2 linked regions of the Oreochromis niloticus genome follow. The protein of the gene in region 2 interacts with the protein of the main gene of each other region in a pairwise test. Links are inferred from orthologs where the notes say so. Each region holds a gene or a part of one and is shown on either strand. Other genes may lie near its edges.

Evidence for each region.
Region 1: the proteins of bcl2l13 (region 2) and pln2 interact in binary tests that used the Homo sapiens proteins (3 or more experiments, as listed by UniProt). The two-hybrid records come from large-scale screens. The link is inferred for Oreochromis niloticus from reciprocal best matches to the Homo sapiens genes BCL2L13 and PLN.

Annotation. Positions count from the first base shown.
Region 1 is NC_031986.2:13,221,593-13,232,201, forward strand, and holds the start of pln2 (cardiac phospholamban), read right to left. Parts: upstream 6,950-10,609; 5' UTR 6,790-6,949; intron 1,625-6,789; 5' UTR 1,474-1,624; coding exon 1,312-1,473; 3' UTR 1-1,311. UniProt on the Homo sapiens protein: Reversibly inhibits the activity of ATP2A2/SERCA2 in cardiac sarcoplasmic reticulum by decreasing the apparent affinity of the ATPase for Ca(2+).
Region 2 is NC_031972.2:61,939,865-61,950,473, reverse strand, and holds the start of bcl2l13 (bcl-2-like protein 13), read left to right. Parts: upstream 1-5,052; 5' UTR 5,053-5,477; intron 5,478-5,483; exon of another isoform or gene 5,484-5,629; intron 5,630-6,445; 5' UTR 6,446-6,508; coding exon 6,509-6,650; intron 6,651-8,730; coding exon 8,731-8,820; intron 8,821-10,609. Other genes in the region: atp6v1e1a (V-type proton ATPase subunit E 1a), read right to left, coding at 2,859-2,953, 3,060-3,128, 3,228-3,317, 3,606-3,672, 4,168-4,277, 4,358-4,423, 4,877-4,909. UniProt on the Homo sapiens protein: May promote the activation of caspase-3 and apoptosis.

The sequences.
Region 1 (10,609 bases), on a different chromosome or scaffold from region 2:
ACTGTAAAGCAAACCTTTCACTGTCACTGTTAGACTGTGCTTCACACACACTCGTTAAAGGTCTGCAGTACTTAGAAACATTCCTAAGTATCATATCAAGTATGTTTATATATGTTAATTAAGAGTAAGAAACACACTGAATAAAATGGCAGACATGCTGCACCTTTGGGAGTGAGCAGACAGTGATAACAGAGCTTCAGTTGATAAATAATGCCATGGAGATTTAAGATATGTGTCAAATTTCTCAGCAGAATTGATGAAAAACAGGGTAAAAATAATTTTACATTTAAAATGATCCACCATGTCTTTTGTGATATAACCACTGGGCGGCGCCAGAGTTTGAAATTTCAATAGAATTGCAAATTTATTAATTTTTTCATCTTCTTCTCTTCTGAAGACGTCCTCAGTGAAGAAATCTGAATGTCAGTGATAGTGAAACCAGCAGGTTTACAGCTTTAGGCGACAGCAGGTTTAGCAGCGTATGTAAGTGAACTGTAGCCTCCATGATTGGGTGTATGCCCATCTGATGTAACTATGGGCCAATAAAGAGTGGCAACAACTCAAGTACTCAACGGACGTCACACATGGCAGCTTTTCTAGGGCAGCAACGTTACATTTTGAGGCACGCTCATCTCAGACTTTCTACCTGCTACCTTTTGCTAAACTTGTGTTGCTGAAAGCTTTTTTTATTTTTTTTACCAACAAGCAGTTTCAGGAAACCTCAGCGAAACCTCAGTGTTTTCCTGTGATCTGTCTGTGGTTTCTGTCAGCGGCACACCAAGAAAGACGTGAAAACGCTCATGGAAAAAAAACATTTCCAGCCTGTTTATCTTTCTGCTGTGGGGGTTGGGTTGGGGGGGGGTTTACAGGAAGTAAAGGGGGGTAGGCTTGTGGGAAATAGAAGTCAAACATTGGTGATGTATTGATATTTCAGCATCGCTGCACTTACTCGTGCTTATGCGTGCATAGCGGGAGTCGCTGTCCTCTGCAAGCGAGCACAGTGTGAATCTGAATGAGCAGCAGGAAGAGGTGAAGGTTACAAACTGCTGGAGTCGGGTCACTTTCGATCATTCCCTTGAGACACAGACAGCGCAGCTGATTCCCGATCAGCTCCCACATCACCCTTGAGCTTTGCTGTGAATTGAGAGTTTGGCCAATGCCTCCGTGATCCTTCTCCGCGCCTTGCTGGTAAACGGGGTTAAGCTGATACATGCCACTTATATTATTGCTTCTTATCCTTTTTTAAAAATATATCTGCATGTATCAGTGAAACCCTCATCTTTGCCCAAACTCTCTCTCTGCACGTGTCTCTCAGCTGCTCAGTAGGACGATGATGTAGATGAGAAGCAGGCAGATGAGGATGAGGGTGAAGTTGACGAACAGCTCCTGCAGGTTCCTCTTGGCCTGCGGGTTCACCTCGATCTGAGACGCTCGGCGAATGGCCGATTTGGTCATGTGCTGAACGCGCTCCATGAAGGCCGGTTACAGTTTGATCGGCTCGATTGGGAGACGAGGGAGTTCAGGTCAGGCTGCTGGGCCTGTTGTTGTAGAGATGGGGGGGATGGGGGGGTGTTGATCTGAAGATGAGCTCGGGTCAGGTGGCAGTCGCTTTATCTTCTCTTTTCTAGTGGCGAAATAAAAAAAGAGACTGTTAAACACATGAAAAATGGGATTTCAGAATCACCCCAGGCCCTCGTCCCCTCATGCGACCTTTCCATATCAGCACTACATAGTGTGATGATAAGACGGCTGCTCAAGAGGCGCCAGCTGAGGCCTGATGATGTGTTAAGCTGGAGTGTAGTCTGAGTGGCAGCAACACAAATGTCATGACCACAGTCCTGGGACATGTTTGTAAAGAGGGAGGAGAAAAAAGTTTCTCATGACTTTATAATATGTTTTGTCCCCCCTCTGTCATTACATCCCAATCAGCTGGGGGTCGTAGATTGTAAGCAGAGTGCGTAAGCAGGAAATAAAAGCACGTCACACAGTGCAGCTGCAGGCTCTCGACACTGGCTTAAATCCCCTTTTGTCATCTGATCTGTGACTTTCCCCAGATCAGAGGCACCGTGACAAGGTTACCGTGCTCTCGCATTAGAGGCTCCTGCACACAGCGAAAAAAAGAAAAGAAAAATCTTCCCACTTGTGCATCGGCTGTGCCAAGGTCTTTTCTATTTTTAACAAGATTAAAATCCACACAGGCGCACCCCTGCTGGGTACATTGTACATTACATCCCGCATTACAAAAAGAGGCTCAGCGATCTACACACAGCTTAGGAACCTGAGAGCTTTGCTGCTAGAAGGTGTAGGTGTTAGGGTGGTAATCCAGGAGTTTGGAGGTCCTCTGTGCAAAGTTTCAAGTTTATCCTCAGGGGGGCGCCAAAGGAAAAGTGCCCCATACTGCATATATTATGACTTACGCTTATGATACTTGAATTGCACTTTTAAACTCTAATGTGCCATTTTTATTTTTTTTTTTAAATCTTGTTTCCTCGTGTCTGTAAAAATAAAAGCAAAAAGGCAGCCATGGCTATTTTTAATCATTTCACTTTTTTCCTTCCACCCCCGTAATCTTCCTCTGAGTCACTCATTATCACTTGACATGTTGACACTTGTGCACACAGTTTCTCAGACCCCACGGGTTAACTCTCCAGCCCGCTTGATCAGACCTCACTGAAGTGGAGCGTAGCGTGGCTCTGGAAGAAGGAGGTTTGAGGGGTTTCATTTCTGGAGTAATCGACCGGTACACAGTCGTGTCTTAGCTTTGACCTGTGTGTAGAGGCGTACTGACAGAGTTCATTAATTCAGCGTATTAACCTGATTAAAGAAGAAAAAGACACTAAAATCTGCTGTTTTCATGCCAGGTGACGAGCACAGAATTGCTGATTGTGTCCTGCATGTGTCTTTCTCATCATCATCACCTGTTTTATCTCATGCCCATGTTTGACCAGCTCCTCAGGACGTACATATGCTGTTTCATCAACACAAGCAATCACTGTTACTCATAAATCCTCCAAGTCTCTGTATGTCCTCGAACAAATGCACCAAGAATGATCAGAAAGTAATCAGGCTGAACTTTTCCTCTCATCTGTTTATGATTTTTCTTCTTTTCTTCCACCCCACAGAAGCAGCCAGTGAAACTCCTCTTTCTATCAGTGTGAAGAGATTTAACTACACATTGAATCCCTGACATATATTAATATAAGAGAACGAGGAGTGGTTTCAACAGTACGTCTCTTTATCTACGTGATAAAATAATGCTGCTGTAGTAAATGAAAGAAATCTGTCTGTGCTGAGTCTGTGCTTAGACAAATCTGGTCCTCAGGCCTTATGTTTGACACCCATGATTTAGAGCGTTTGCGTTCAGTCTGGACTTTTAAACTCATTAGATTCTAAATATTTGGCTCCATGTAGAAGTAGGCTTTGACTTTATCAGCTATGGAGCTTCAGGGTGGCCTGAAAGGGACAGGCTGAAAGTCCTGTTTGGTTTGGGTCAACAGGTGGCGCTCTTTCAGCTCATTATTTGTGATTAAAGGGTTTTTATTGAGGTATTGTCTGTAAACACAACACCTCAAAATGTTTTGTATCCATGCTGGTAAAATGTTGTATGGGTGTAGAGCGGGGTCATGTCGTCCACTGAGGTCTTCAAGGTCAACTCAAAGATTTATTGGTCGAAAATTGACAAAAAGCCTTAAAACTTACTGATTCTTACAAGTCAACATATAAAAAGTACAGTATAAAGATTTAAAATGTCTTGTCACATTTGACCTCTGACCTCTTCTTCAAGGTCAGCAGATTGATCTGAAGGTCAAAGTGCTAATAATGCTAAATAGAACTATTTAAAATGACAGAAAGCTTTCAGACTGACACAACTATGCTTTTTGAGTATAGCTGACACAGGTTATAAAATACAAAACTATTTAAACACATGTGCAATCCTCACGAATAAGTATTATGTTTGTTTTTTTAAACCAAATAAACTTTTTTTTCACTTCATATTTATCACTAAAAATGTCCATTTTTACTAAACAGTAAAATGAATTTCCTCAGCTCCATCTAGTGGTCTGCAGACAAACTGTGTTTGGACTGAAGCAATCAAGAAAAATCTTTGCTTGTGCGTCTTCTGCACAGACGGTTTGTATTCTGGGCTTCCCTCTGACAGCAGCTCAAACTACACCTATAGAAATTAATATTCATCCGCCCCGGTGTTTCCCTGCCCCGCTCTGTTCCTCTCAATCATCCTGTGCCCGAGGTCATGAGCCTTCCACTTCCACTCATCCTTCTCTCCTCCTTGCTTCCTTTCTCACTTTTTATATGAGAAATTAGCATTTTTGTGCAGCTTGTAGTTTGACCTTTGAGGTGAAATTACATTCTCTCTGTATGTCAGTCTGCACACCGCGTGTCTGATAACAAGCGAGCCACCGCTGCTCGGCTTCATCCTCGGCTGGTCTGCAGCCGCATCATTATAAACTGAGCTCTGTCAGTCAGCCAGGCTGTGCTTTTCTTTCTTGTGTCTAGAGTGCAAATAATCTTCATTTCCACTGCACAAAATGAGTGAAAATGAAATGTTGACAGTAGATATAAAGCTTTCATCTTTTTTGGCCCACACAGGCACACCTACATCCTGATGCAGTGCATACATCTATTTTCTTATTTTCAGCAAGCTCTTTACTCGTCATCATTTCCTACTTTGCTTCTTAGCCTGTTTATACATCTCAAGTGGCTTAGGGCCAAATGTGTCACAGGAAACATGGTCTAGCTAACTTCACAAACACAACACCTTTATTTAGGTTGAAGCTGTGGCCTTTATTTCAGTGGTAATTTTGTAGTTTAATGGAACACATGAGCCACTGTGTCAGCCCCAAAAGGGCTACTGATTAAACCTGAGGGATTATAATATTTATTAATAAGCTCCCAGGCTTCTAAAAGTGTTGGTGATAAAGGATCATTAGCTGAATGCTATCTTGTGTCCTAACCAAAAGTCAATAATCTCAAAGCAACACCTGATGGATTCAATTTCAAATTATTCCAACAAATCAAATCAAAAGAGGAGTCTAGGTTAACTGTAATTTCCCATCTTAGCCACGTCCTTTAATATGGAGAAGGCCCCAAAAAGTAAGCAGTAGATCATTTGGGTGATATTATTTTACCTCCTGCAGTTTCAGTAAAGCGGGTTAGGAAATGAATCTATGTTTTACTTTACTGTACCATTCTGCTGCTACTTTTGAAATTTATCTAAAAGGCCTCACGCAAAAAACACAGTGCATTTAATCATTTGATTAGCTTATTTGTATTTACCGTGCAAAGCTCGAGGAGAAATCTGTTTTTATTTTTAGATTATCACCGTTAAAGTGCAGATTGCTCCTCTGGGCTGCTGAAAGGACCGCGTTGTCCTATAAACACAATCAGCTGTTGTTAGCCGTTCTTGCCAAGCGATAGATTTCTCCAGTGTGACCAACACAGAAGTGGAAAATAATGGTGCTGATGTTACTGGTAATAAAGTTTTTAGAGATGGAAATAGTTTCAAAATAAACTGAAATAAACTGAATTAATCTTCTGTTTTTCTCCTGTGAGTTTTGTCGCTGTGTGCCAGAGCGCGCAGGTACATGCACGCCACTTTCTGCCCACTCTAGAGGCTAAAGTGACACTAAAAATAAGTCATTAGCGATGCTTTTTGTCTTTGCAATCAACATCAGCACTTGCAAGAGAAGTAGCTGGTGTAATGTTAGCATTTCCTCTTAGAAAATGATTGACAGCTGTGAAGTATGTAGGTTAGACAGATGCATGGGCTTACTGATGTTGTCCTGCTACTCTAATTGGGTCATGGCTAGCTGCACCCACTCCTTGATAGCAGCTGTTGGGAGCCAATACCTCACATAAATCACTTTAAATTTGGCAGCATATATATATATATGTACAAAATTTAAGGTCTTTATCATAAATAAACATGTCTAAAAATATATACATGTGTAATATTGCATTGTATAGCATGATATAAACATAGTTTCATAGTATTAAATATAATTGATTTCTTTTTTTACCAACTGTTGTGTATTTTGCATTTGTCACATGTCAGAAAGAAAATCTTACCACCCACTTCTTTCTAGTGTTGCTTTTTTGTGCGTAACTCGCTCCATGTACTGTATCTCCTTGAGAGGTCATTGTGAAGTAAAGATACATCTAAAAGTATCTTAAAATTTTTTTCTTCTTAATATTTTTTTAATGGAAACACATCTAGAAATAGAATAAGATTATCAAATGGAGCAAAAAAAAAAAAAGAAATACAGTGAATTCTCCTGGACCACACTGGGAAATATTGTATATCGTACTGCAGCATTAAGTATTACTAAGATAGAGTTGATTTGACTCCTCAGTGCTTTTAAATAAAATCATGTGTTCGGGATAGGAATGTAAGAATCTGGGATAAGTCTTTATCCCTCTGGGAGTTTTAGCCCAGTCCCTGTTCCCCCTGCTTCTCTCTACAAAGCTGTATTTACTGTAAGTGAGCAATGACTTTATAAGAATCAGTGATTCATATCGTGCTCCTTAATATCTTAACATAAAACATCTCCTGTAACCGTTTAACTTCTGCAAGTACAAATGTCCTTTATGTCCCTAACCAGTTAAGTACCTGACTCAAATAACTCAGCTACCAATAATAATACGTTTTAATGACTCTTCTTATCACAAGATTTACCCTACTGGGCTTTTATCCTGTCTGTATCATCATTTGTCATCATCAACTCTCTGTCAGCCTTCCTACAGAGCAGCTCAGAGGATGCTGGCTCTTACCTTTCAGATGAGAAGAGAGCTGGTTGGAGTTTGAGAGAGAAATGTCAGATATGCCGTCCTCTCCAAGGCTGTAAACACAGTGAGAGATGGAGAGAGAGGGAGGGAGGGGAGAAATAAAGGAGAGAGAGAGAGAGGCAGGACATCCCAGCAAAGATTTCAGGAGAGTGGGGATACCAAATTTGTATTAGGGCTCCTGAATTATACATGCAGCCACCGGCACGTACCGCTGCATTTCAGGGTTCAAGTTTGGGTGAGAGTTCTGAAAGCTGAGATCGCGAGGTCATTCCCTCGTTTAAAACAACTCAGTCATATACGCAGACGTTACAATACTTTTTGTTTCTGGCTCTGTAATAGTTTATTATTGATGATGCAGTATTACTGTTCATTTAAGATTTTTCAGGGAAAGCATGGTAATGCTCTTAAGCTCTCTGGGCTAAATGGCTGACGTATTAGCCACACTCCTAGAGCAGATTTGTTTTCTGGGAAAATTATTTTGGGAAATGTGGAAAATTTGCCAGCTTTAGAAGGACACCAGTCCTGTTGCACTGTGCCCATCTGTGAAGAAAGAGATGCTTTATGTGTTACTGCCATGCCATCCTCACCATGCGTGCTTTCTTTATCCTTTCTTTAATGCATTAATGACGTGGCTGCTGGGAGGGGCCAAACACGTCCCTGCGATCACTTGAAATCTGGCTTCCGATCAAATACCACACCTAGACCACCCTATTGTCTTCATTATCCTGGCAGCCTGATATACACTTGGCACATGTGTTGTGCTTTTTGAACAGCTGATGACACCTCTAAATTTACAGTATACATTTGGCCATGACCACATCATTGATCCTCTGGGACCTTGAAATTGTTGAAGCAGCCACGAGAAAGTTATTTCTCTTCTATTGCTTAACTCGCTAACTCTGTGTTTCGCAGCTGGTGGAGAACAAACAGCAGATTTGTTTGCCTGGATGTGAATTTAATGTGTCACAGTAATACTTGTGAAAGCTAGTCTGCTTATCAGATCCATTCATTTTGAAGCTATTTTAAATTCGTTAGCTGTGAAGGTGGGTCTACCTGACATTGTATGAATTTCATTTAAAAAAGTATTTTTATCATTGTGTGTATGTGTGTTTGCGAAGTGTGTGAAGTCCTGGACAGCATCCTCCACTTTAGAGAAATCAGTCGAGACAAGGGTTTCAAAAAGAAGTCTGTAAAAAGTAAAAATAACCCCCCTGCTGTGGCCCAGAAAGCATTGCATCTGCCTTATAAGGGGAATCAGCATGTAAACAGGCTGTCAGTCACATACTGGGAAGTCTGCTTTGTTGATGTTGCTGGTCTCTACTCCACATGGATACACACTTCAAACAATCCGAGAACACGGGCAAGCAGATAGTTCTATCTTTTATGACAGCTGTATCTTTCCCAAACATGAAGGGGAACCTTGATCCTCCCTCTGGGAGACAGCTCCACTGTTTCAGGAACATTTGTAAATAGAAAATTAACATAATAATAAAATAATATCATATTAGCCGAGAGTCAAAAGCACAGTCAGAACTGTTCATGAAGAAGAATTTGTTGTGCACAAAATCATAAGAAAAGGACGTTTAGTAAGAAAGACTGAATTTAAATCTAAGGAGTAGTGGACGTGCTGTACTTGGGACATTATTTCCTGATGCATTCTGAAATCCAAAATTAGCCATTTATCTGGGGACTAAAAGGGTCCAGATGTTGTTGAATGTACAGATTATGAGTGTTCTTAAGAGACTGTTTTTAAGCCTGCTTGTCGTGATCCATGCAGGGTTAGTAACCTCTGAAAGTCTTTGGTTAGCCCCATTTAACCTGCAGGACTGTCTGGAGGCACCTGGGCCATCCTTTGCTACCTTGGATGAAAACTTTTGTCGACCCTGATTTCGTAACAGGGGAGAAAACTTGTCAAACAGTCAAAAATTATGACCGTCATCTCTAAAAGGCAGTCTGGAAAGTATCAGGTGGAGAAACCGGCTGCGCTGACTTCAACGGTGACGGGAAATTTTTAGAAGAGCTGATTGTTTTTTAAAGCCAGTAGCCAGATGATAATACACTGTCCAGCAGCTATGGATGGATAAACAGGGCTGGTTGTCAGAACTATAATGGTACAAAGTAATATGGAAATCAATACATTCAGTTTTCTTGGGTTATATTCGATCACTTGAGTTTTAAAAGTGTCCAAACACGTGACAGGCTATCACGTTTGGATAGACTATAGCAGTAACTCTCAAGGAATCAAGGACAGTTGAATTAACCCCTGCTAGCAACACTAAAATTGAAGCCTAAAAGGTATGTTTTCCAATAACTATGTAGTTAGAGGGATGACAGATATAGTGCAGATGGTCTTTTTAGAGTTGTTGAAGTTGCCATAAAGGTAGATTTCAAACTACTAACTAAAAATCTATCAGTAATTGCTCTAAAAAGTCAGTACTGATCTATTAGACGGACCGACTTTGGCATATGTAGGACAAAAAAGAATTTGGCATCAAGCTGATGTATTAATGTGAAATATATTTGACATATGCTAGGTATAGATTGATTTTTGGCAACAGAATATTACTGCTGATAATCAGCAGGCGGGCTTTCATTGGGCAGTGGTGAGGTGCCAGTGGCCGACTGAGGGTTAGAGCTCATTGTGTCTTTGTGTTTGTTTGATGCCAGGACTGAAGGGATAAATCTAACTCTAAGTCTGGAATGCGCAAATCATTTTCAGCTCCGAGGTGCTCTTGAGGTAGGCTCTCGCACATCTGAGAAAGCTCTTCAGCTGTGGACAGATCCAGCTCCTGCTGCACTGGACAGCCTCCAGGTGTGGAAGTGTGGGAGTGGGAACACTCCTGAAACTGGGCCCACTGCTGTCACTGGAAGTCTAAAAATAACACTCTTGGCAAAAATAATCGCTTCTCTCCTGTTATGTAAAGTCCTTTGAAAGTGATGATAAATATTTGCGTTTATCTGGTAGATTAAGTGTCTCTGCACTTAATTTTCATTGTCATCATCATGTTCTGTCTTGCCTTCATGAGCACACAGAGCCTTTATGTCCAGCTGAAAAGTAATTATAAAATCTCTTACACTAGGAAAATAGTTTCCTCCTTTTTTTTTTTTTTTTTAAATCCCTAGAGTGGTGCAGCTCTGCAGCCTTACATGGTGAAATACCAGACTGCTCTAACCCACGACTAGCAAGACAGAAAGATTCAGAGGGAAAGAAACAGCTTGACTCATATAAAGAAAACCACAGCAGGGCAGAGAAAACAGACAGAGCTGCTGCTGCTACCAGTCAGAAGTCAGAGATTTGCTCTTTTAAACAGAGACGCAAAAAGAAAATACTGCACTTTAAACTTTTGTGGTTAAACCTGTAATGAACACACCTGGCCCTTTCTCTAGCAGTCTAAGGTTTTGCACTCACTCAAAATTCTCGCTGCGCACATACAAAGAAAATATATTTGAGTAGAAGCTTTCATGTTCCCCAGAGGATGAACTTCTTGTATTATAGATTTTTTTCATAAACTGTATAATGAATTTTAATGATCTGAAGTACATCCACAGGCCCTGAGTGTTGGATCTGAATGACAGCAGCTCAAAGACAACAACAATGTATGCAAGATTTGACACTTGGCAGCCATCTTGAAATGTAACCTGGCAATTAATTATGAGATATTTTGAAGCATTTTCTAAATTAACAGTAGCATCTGTAGAATCGGTCACGGGTCTGACACATAGAGACAGACATCCATTCACACTCACGTTTGCACCTTCCAGAGATTTCAGTGGAGGTGCTTGTGGTTAAACCTGTAATGAACAC
Region 2 (10,609 bases):
TGGCTCCGACAGTCACTAGATTTTAATCCACTGAGATGTGTTTAAATGGGCGGTTTGCATCATATGATGTGCAACAAATCTGTAACAACTATGTGACGACATCATGTCAATGTGGACCAAAAAGTCTTAGGAATGTTTCCAACACCTTGTTGAGTCTACTCCACAAAGACAAAGTTGTTCCAACCCCCAAGGTCAAACTAAAGCTGAGCAGTGACTACAGTCTGTTTGTTATATTTCAGGGGTCGGCAACCTTTCTGATGGCGAGTGCCATTTAAAATTTCCTCAGAGGTCAGTGTGCCATATGATTGCATTAGCAATAAATGTAATAACGCTCTATATTAACAGTTACACACTATATAGAACCACTTTCTAGAATTATATTTGTTCGCAGATGTTGGCAGCTATCAGCGAATAGTTATCAGCTATTTTGAAACAAAAAAAAAGACACTTTTAATCCATAACAAGAACTCCATAACAGCAAATGGACTGTACAACAGAAAATACAAATGCTATTTATGGTCTCCTCACAACAATGATAAGAAAAATAAACTAAGCCAATATGGCATGTTTGTTAATACAGACACACACATGTTAAAGTGATCTCTGGTCTCCCACTCAGAGACACAGGTCTCCGAGTGTCCAGCATTCAGGCGGCTACCTGAGGACACTCATGTGAGAGAAAATCTGCTCACACAGATATGTAGAGCCAAATACTGTCAATAAGGCCTCTGCAATGTTCTGAAGACAGTTAAACTTGTCAGGTAGTGATGTCCAGCAGGTGGAAATGCAAGCTCCATGAACACGCACAGCTGTGGATTCCAGCTGCTCGATGTCGCATTAACTGGTATCAACTCAGCCAGTTAGACAAATCTAGCTGCTCATTAAAGATTTCTGGTTTGATCAGAAAAGAAAACATTGGTCCATACACCTGAAAGTCCCAAAAGTGCATTGTGTCTCGAGTCTACGGATGTATCCATGTATCTCCGTGGTGCTGATGCTGTGCTGAGCGGACAGCTCCTGAAGCTTTTGAAGTGTCGGAATGTGGAAAGCTAACAACGTCCCTCTTACCAGTAGGCTAAGTTATTTTTAGCCAATTACAAGTTGAATCTGGTACTTGGGGTTGTTAGCTAAGATACCGTCATTAAGAAGAGATACAACTAATGTGTCTATGCGAGCTGATTTGCGATGTGCACCGCTGGCACGGCCATTTATTTTTTGATGCACCTTCTCAGATTAATTCACTGCGTGTTGTGCCCAGGGCTGGACTGGGACCAAAAAAAAAAACAGCCTGGGCATTTTGACTAAAGACCGGCCCACCAGGTATTAAAGCCATAAAGCCTTTGAATGAAAACGAACGCTGTTGTGACAGTGATGTACACTGTCTTGTTGGTATATGTATGATTTCTATACATTTTACATCAGATAAAAACTTTGGTTGTAAGCTTCAGATAATTATTTAAAAACAGCCAGACATTTTAAATGAGAATAAGAAAATATTTCCTTGTGCCCCCCTTTCCCTGTTAATGCCCTACCTGGCCCCCTGGCAAAACTTTGCTAGACCCACCCCTGCACAGTTACCAGCTGTCAGCTACTTAGAAAAGGATCCTGGTGTTATTTGTCTCTCAGAAACAGTTCATAACTTCCCTTCAACTCATTCATGTCACCTAAAAGGTAAACCTGTTTCTCCATCACCTGTTCAGCTCTGATGAGTCAGTAAGGACATCTCCTGGTTTCATCTTCATGTTTCCCTCTCACCAGATATACAAACCGACATCATGACCAGCACTTTTTTCAGCTGTGGCTCCAGCAAACATCAGCTGATACTAGAAATTGATATTAAATAAATTCTAACAACAGCTGATCAAGCTTAAACGTGCTGCTGTTGTTTAGCGCGACATCCGCTGGTTTCCTCTTTCTGGCGCAAAGTGGGCGATAAACAAACAAGAGAGAAAAGCCGATCAGCTGATCATTGATCAGTTTCATGACTGAAGTAGCAACAGGAGAGAGAATGAGAGAAGAAGAAACAGTTGCGTAACGACAGAACAACTCCACCTTTGTGTCTTTCTCATTCTAGCTGAAGTCCGAGACAAACTGCGTCCCCTCTCAGCTAAACACGAAACGCGTAATAATTTCTCTGAATGCGGGAGGATTCCGTCTTTTTACGGGACGGTTGGAAACTCTACTAACTAACCTTATGAATTAAATAAAGTTCAACATCAGTAACATCACAGCACCCACCCAGCTGTATAGAAACTCCGTCATGCTAGCTAGCGCGCAGTACGAGTTATTGTAACTGACTGTAAAAAGTCAACATAACGAAAATAAACTCCACCTAAACTTGGTTTATATCTGACTCCGATAGACTGCAGGTCATAACTTCTTACCTGAAGTTCAGTTCACCTGACGCTCGGACCGGCGGCCGCCTCGGGTCTCTCCTCGTCCTGCCTCCGATCTCCATCATCCACGTGCTGGCCTCCACCACTTGTTAATTTTACTGAATCTGTGGAAGCTCTGCGATAGCCACCACCAAAGTTCTTTTTACACACCGGCCAGCATCTGGCCAATCCACCATCTTTCATTGTTTATACCGTTACACCCCCCCCCCAAAAAAAAAAAAAAAAAAAAAAATCATCGGGCCACCGAGCAAATGCCCGGTATGCCCGATGGCCAGTTCAGCTATGGCCGTGCCATCAGTTAACCCTTGGCACGCGTGCCTAGGGTTGCCGACCCCTGTTATATTTGATTAAAAATACAAAAATTCCTGCATCTAAATCTTGACAATACCAAACAGACAATCTGACACAATCACATGACCTCCTTCGTCGTGCTAAAAAGTCAGAAGAACTGAATCATCTTACATCTGAGCTGGAAGAAAACGTTCCTTATCGATTTTGACTGTTATGTTGCTCTTCACCGCCTCTTTGTAGATCGGGATGTTCTTATTGACTGCAGCCTGTTGGGTAATAAAGAGAGAAAACCACTCTATGCTATTGTGCATTCAACAAAGAGGCAGATGGCCTGTGCTTTCTTTCCTAAATAACTAGCCAGAACAGCGTCACCTGAACAAGTTCAGCATCCTGCGGTCGGCAGCGAATGGTAACCTTCGGCTCCAGGAGTCGGTAGAATCCCTGAAACATTAAAAAAAAAAGCTCACTTTTTAAAAATAGAAAACTGAACATTATATCAACTTTTGGTTTGCAATCATAGATCATAATGGTAGATTATACCTGAAGCACCAGGCCCTCCAATAGACTGGAGTACTTAGCAGGGTCCTTAGCAATCTCTGCAAGTCTCTGACGGGCCTCGTTTAACAGATCCTGTGACAAAAACAGACAACTGGATACATTAGAAATTCATATATGACTCGTGATTTATGGTACGTGTAAATAAACAGCATCCAGTCTTTTTCACTGTACTGGAGTAGTGAAGGTCAAATACAGGACACAACATTTGCACATTATTTCCATGTGGAAATACGTACACAAAAATTTAATGCAAGAATGAAAGCTAATCATGGAAGCAAATTCAAATTCATCATTAAAGTTATGATGAATCTGAATACAGGAGGTTTCCAGTGGACACAGAAATGAGCATTCATCGCTCACCGTGATCATGTCGTCTCGGGCCTTCAGCACCTTCAGCCTGGCTTGGTTCATCAGGTTGGATCTCTGACTGTGGAGGGTGTTAATTACACTGATTAATTCCTTTTATCAGAGATATTCTTAAAGTAAAATTCCTGCCTCTTTAATTGGGGTAGAGCCTGCATTTCTTTGAACCAAACATGATTTTATTTTGAACTTTTTAGAGTCGTCATTTTCTCTTCTTCAGAGTTGTTGGTCCAGAATTGATTAAATCTATTTATGCTGCTTCCGTGTTGGTTAGTTCAGAGGATGCCTTACAAGCTATCAGAAGATCAGTCACTGCCTCAGAAAGACAGCGTTTACTCAAGAGATGTGAGATTGCAGAGTGTCAGATCTGTAAGTGTTTGAAGTGTGGGATAAACAGTGATAAAAAGCATCTCACAGAAACAGTCAAACCAATGGGACAGTGGAGCTAAAAAGAAGAAAGAAAAGGCGTGCTGTGGTGTAGCATTTCCAAAGGCTAACTAAATTTTTTTTTGATGGATGCATTCCTATTCGTGTAGTTTGAGTGACCACTCTTTCTCACATCTTCTTATGCTGCTCAATCTGCTTTTCCTTCTTCTCATAGTACTCCATGATTTTCAGCCGCTGAGTCTGCACCAGACGACCTTTCTCAATGTTGAACTCTTCCTCCGCCTGTGTAAGAGAAGGTTCATTAAATCAGTGGTCACTATCACAAAAGCCACAAGACTGACAGGCAGACAGGCTTCAGTTACCTTTGCATCAATTTCCTCAACCTTCTCATTGGCCTCTTGCTCAATAAAGGCCATCATGTGCTTAATCTGCCATAAGAAACACAAAAAGCAGCTGGTTCAAGTTCACATCTCTGACAATGTGCATCCTTTATCTGTCTTTTCTGTCTGTTTTCTGAATGATACATAGACATGCGTACACACTTTTACTGTTTTACTAAAACTGATAGTTTAGCATTAGAAAGTGACCAAATTACATTATTTATCGCTATCAGATGAACTTGACTTGTATTAATGGCAATGTTAGCATCTAGGCATTAATTTTAACTTTGCACCCGTTATAATGTAAACTGCCACCGACAACCAGAACTAAATGAATTGCGGCGTTGCCTTAAACGTTAAACATAGTGCGGAATAATGATTAACAGCGGGACAGTGCTGCAGTCCACGTTTCGGCCCGTTAACTGAGATTATGTATGTTTACCGTAAGTTACAACACTCGTCAGTGGGATGGACGTAGTTAAACTGGTCCATAAAGTTTACCTGTTTCTGTACGTCAGCGTCGGTGAGTGCCATGGCTATTCTCAGTTATGTTTATTGTCTCTTTGAAGTCTGTCAAACCAGTTGTCTCCGTCACTTTTACCGTCCACTGAAGCACAAACGGTTTGGGGTGAAAACACGGTTTGGCTTTCGTGGTCGAGCTGGCTACTGGAGGCAAAATAGAACTTCCGGTCTGCACTTTCAAAATAACATTTCGCGTTCCAGTTAAATATTTGTAAGAAGGGCGGGGTGCTAAGGTTGGATGCTCTCCTCTCAAAATTTTTATAGCTACAGAGAATCAAGGATTATCTCCCCCAATAACAGATATGTTATTGGGGGATTGTAAATTCCGCGAGTTTCCTCTTGTGACCACAGGTTGAAAGGTGTCCGGTAGCAGAGGAGAGTATTATTATGAAGGCTCTGACAGGAAGATTGGTCCCGGTTTTGTACGCTAACATCCAGAGTACCCTGTGTACTAACGGCTACCTGCCATTGGTGGTCTACCCTCTCCGGCTTCTGCTACAGGAGTGCGTGTGTGTGTATGTGTTCATAATTCTGTTCAGCTTGTCGTCTGTCCACATCTGGTTGCCTTTGGATAAGGACGGTAAGAAACGGACACCCGCTGAGCTTAAGTTAAAATGAAGTTTTGAATCTCCAGCACGTAAAACGTGTAACGTCAAGCTAGCTAACAGTAGCTTGCATGTGAGTTTAGGTGTTCCAGCGAGGGGTGCAGCGGACACTTACGTAATTAGTCAGGTAATTAATTAGCAAAGCTACATGTCTGGTTAGTAAAGCGAATGGCTCTGTTATTTGGTAGATTATTTTTTTGCGGGCATGCTGAAATCTTTTGAGGATAGTTGTGTTTATTTAATTTACGTTAATTATTGTAGCCGCTTTGTTATTTGATGATTGAACTTTTTAAGTATTCGGTTATACGCCATATTTTATTTTGATAGTTAAGCCCGGAAGTATTTTGTTTAATTTGGCAGACTTGACACTAATGGAGTTTTTGGTCCGCTTGGTGTCACCTCGTCTCTGGAGGACCATGTGGGGGGATTAACTTAGAAGTTACAGGGGGTTAAAGTCGTGTTTCATATTTGTGCAGTGATCATTTTATTTGAAAATTGTTTGGGGTTTTTTTATGGATGTTTTGTAAAACGACCATCTGTTTGCCACATGTGTTATGTAAATCATGATCTAGGCACAAAAAAGTACCCAAATATGTCCTGTCCCATTCTTCTGTCCTGAGTTGGGACCCATGCAGTCACAGAAGTCTAAAATCACTCTGTGAGTGACGGGGGAAATTTAATTTGTCCCCTTAGTGCACGCAGTGGGGGTAGGACACTGTAAACCTGAGGGGGGCATCTGTTTATGTCATTCATATAACAGCTTTTTCTTTTTTTCTTTTTAAAGATTAAATAACATATTGTATGATGTAATGCCTGAGTGTAGATATAGATTTTCTTAGCTTTTATTAATGGGTGCCTCAGCCTCAGCCAGCCCATCCTTCAGGCTGTAACGATTGTGCCTCTAACGAGATATTATTCTTCCTCTGGTTGTTATTTTCCCTAGGTGAGACGTCCAGCTTTGACTGTATGAATTAATGTGCCTGAGAGTCTGATACACATCTGTTCGATGGCTACCTCAGGCTCCACCGCTTCTGCCTCAATCCCAGCCACTGTGCCTGAGGGTTTCCATTATGAAACCAAATATATTTTGCTTAACTACCTAGGAATGGTGCCTGCAGGTAGATCAGACCAACCAGCTGCAGCTCACGGTGAGAGGAAATGCTACACATGGTTGTAACATAAAATATCTGGGGTGTGTAGGCACGTAACCACCTGTTTTGCCAGCTTAATTTGGCTCTGACTGGAATCTGACTTTAGCAGGAGAACACATTCAGAAGACCTGTATGGACACTTTAACATGATAGCTGAAGCCAGTGTCTGTAAACCAATAGATTTAGTGGATTCTCATCTAAAGCCCAGCTAGAATCCTTTCAATAACCCAATATGGTGACCAGAGTGCATAAAGCCGGCCTGTCTTCACAGAGGTCTTTACAACAACCCTGTTACGTGGCCCCGGGCATGCTGGCTCACATTTTTCTTCTTGTTCCCTGTATGCCCGACATACCAAAAAAGGTGTTGTTGAACAAATGTACAATATAGTAATGATTTTCTGTGTCTGCTATGTGAGACTAGAGAAATGATGTGTGAAGGTAAATGCCAGCAGCTGTTCATTTCTTTTAGTTTGTGCAACCAAGTTATGACCTCACAGCGTTAATTCTGAAATAAATCTTAGTGATTAAAGAGAGCACAAGACTTCTGGAGAGCCTCTTTGGATGATGCATGAAAGTAAAGGAGCAGAGGTATCTGAAAAATGTATTTGGAGCAAGGAAAAGAAGACGAGAGAGGGGGAGTTCTTTTTATTTTCTGTCCATTTTATTGTTGTGTGCATGCTTGGAATGGGCGGAGATGGCAGATGAGTGGCTGATCCCTGCTTTCCGCTTGACCCGGTCCAATTTCTGACAGCCTGTCATGTGCAATCACTGTAGCATTACTCACACACCAGTGGACCAAAGCAAAATAGTTGTCTGGCTAGCTGTCTGTCTAAATGCTGACACAGCACCAAGGCCAGGAAAAGCCAACACTGGTCCTCATGGCACCCATGCAGGGACATGAGAGAACAAGATCCCAGTTGTCAGAGTGTCTTCTTGCTTTTTGTTAAAAAATGTCATTATTTGATTTCATAAACTGAGAAAAGTCAGCTACTAAAGCGGTGAAGAATCCCCACTTCAGAAGTGATTCATCATTGCAACTGAACCAATGGAGTCCAGTCACACTGGAAATAACCAGTGCCTCTGGGTTGCATGTATGAACATTATAAAATGATCCCTGCATCTCTCCGGGGTGAGAGGTCAAATGTAAAACTTGATTTTAAAAAAAAAATTTTTTTTTGTAAATTCAATGCAGCCCCACTTGGTGCCTTTGTGTTGCGTGGTTCATTACACCCTGAGCAGTGTAGACTCAGTGCTGTAAATAATTAACCCCTGCCTTGATAGCCTTCATGCACACGATGACTGAGAACCATTAACAGTTTTTTGCTTTGAATTCAGGCTCGTCAGGCTGAGGAGGAGCGGCTGCCTGCAAAGGTGGTTCTCTCCTCCAAGAAAGTTGGTGTGCACGGCTGGATTGTTGACACGCTTTGTGTATTCATAGTGCAGGCATCAACCGCTCATCATTATAGTGGAGTCAAGAACTGGCCCAGTTTCCACTTTGATGTTGATCCTAGCCTGTTAAATATTTCAAGATTTAATAAAAAGTCGGATCCCACATGTGTTGTGTTAGCAACTTAACCCATTCTTTGTCAGATCCTCTATTTAATTTGTCAGATTATATCCAAAACCAGTGAGTGCATAACTTTTATGAATCCAAAAAAAGACAATGAACCTTTTCGAAAAAGCCACATGACCAACCTTTTTTTAAGTTGTTAGAATAGTTACATAAAGAAAACTAAACACATGCATAAAACAATCACAAAATAGCACAGTGTAAATATGTTCATGGTTCCTAAAATTATTATTGAGGATGCGCTGAAAGAAGGACTACTTTAAAAAGCGACCATGCAAATGCAACAAAAACAGCTGGCACACACTGAAATGACCGTCCAACCACAATATCCTGTTAAAATGCAGTCAAAGCAATTCAGAATTTCCAGAACAGCTTTTCTTTGGTCGTGTTTTAAGACATTTGGGGAAGTTCTGCATGAAAATTAAAGCGACTGTGTGGGAGAGAGCCAGAAAGAATGAAGGATAGAGTGACGGTGGTTCATATTTCATGTTTGTTTATCTCTTTCAGAAGATACAGAGGCTGAGAAAACAAGCTACAGAGTGATAAAGGAGCAAATAGAGGAAGGGCTGAGAGAACTGGATGGCGAAATTGCTGCCTGTAAGTGATCACAAACATACACAGCTACAATTAGGTCCATATATATTTGGACACTGACACAAGTTTTGTTTTTTTTTTTTGGGGGGGGGGGGGGGTTGTTTTTTTTACTTGTTTACTGAAATTATAGTGACACAATGTGTAGAATTTCATCTTTCATTTGAGGGCATCCACATTCAAATTGGATGAAGAGTTTAGGAGTTTCATCTCCTTAATATGTGCCAGCCTCTTTTTAAAGGGACCAAAAGTAATTGGACAATTGACTAGAAGGCTATTTCATTGGCAGGCATGGGCAATTCCTTCATTATGTTGTTTTTAATTAAGCAGATAAAATGCCTGGACTTGTTTTGAGGTGTGGTGCTTGCATTTGGAAGATTTTGCTGTGAACAGACAACATGCGGTCAAAGGAGCTCTCCATGAAGGTGAAACGAGTCATCCTTAAGCTGCGAAAACAGAAAAAGAAATCACATCTGAGAAATTGTTACAATATTAAGAGTGGCAAAATGTACAGTTTGGTACATCCTGAGAAAGAAAGAAAGCCTCTGGTGAACTCAGAAATGCAAAAAGACCTGGACGTCCACATAAGACAACAGTGGTGGATGATCGCAGAATTATTTCCATGGTGATGAGAAACCCCTTCACACCAGCCAACCAAGTGAACAAGACTCTCCAGGAGGTAGGCGTATCGATATCCAGGGCTACCATAAAGAGAAGACTGCGTCAAAGTAAATACAGATGGTTCACTGCAAGGCGTAAGTCATTCATAAACCTCAAGAATAGAGAGGCTAGATTGACAGATGAAACCAAGATCAACCTCTATCAGAATGAGGGCATGAAAAAAAGTGTGGCGAAGGTGTGAAACAGCTCCTGATCGAAAGCATCCACATCGTCTGTAAAACATAGTGGAGAGAGCGTGATGGCTTGGGTGTGTACGGCTGCCAGTGGCTCTGGGACACTGGTGTTTATTGATGATGTGACACAGGACAGAAGGAGCTGAATGACCTCTGATGTGTTCAGAGACAGACTGTCTGCTCAGCTTAATGCAGTCAAACTGATTGGGCGGCGTTTTATAATACAAATAGACAATGACTCAAAACATACAGCCAAAGCATCCTAGGAGTTTATTAAAGCAAAGAAGGGGAATATTCATGAATGGCCAAGTCAGACACCTGATCTTAACCCAGTTGAGCATTTCACTTGATGAAAACTAAACTTTGGACAGAAAAGCCCAAAAACAAACAGCGACTGAAAGCTGCTGCAGTAAAGGTCTGGCAGAGGATTAAAAAGGAGGAAACCCAGCATCTGGTGATGCTCATGAATTCAAGACTTCAGGCTGTCATTGCCAGCAAAGGGTTTTCAACAAAGTATTAGAAATGGACAATTTTATTTTCAGTTATTTAATTTTTCCAATTACTTTTGAGCCCCTGAAATGAAGGGATTGAGTTAAAAATGCTTTAGTTGTACACATTCTCATGCAATCTTTTTGTTCAGACCACTTAATTAAAGCTAAAAGTCTACACTTTAACTACATCTGAGTTGTTTAATTTAAAATTCATTGTGGTAAAAACCAAAATTAGAAAAAAGTTGTCTCTGTCCAAATATTTATGGACCTAACTGTAGTTCCAGAGATTAGCCTTCAAAAGCACTGAACACCATCACTAGTCTGGTCTTAAGTTTTTAAACTGAAGTTGATCAAAACTAAGTTCAGTGTGCAAATATGACACATGTACAGTTAAAGCTCTTTGGTTTCTTTCCAAAAAGCGTGAATATTGCTGCAGATTGCTGTGGTTGG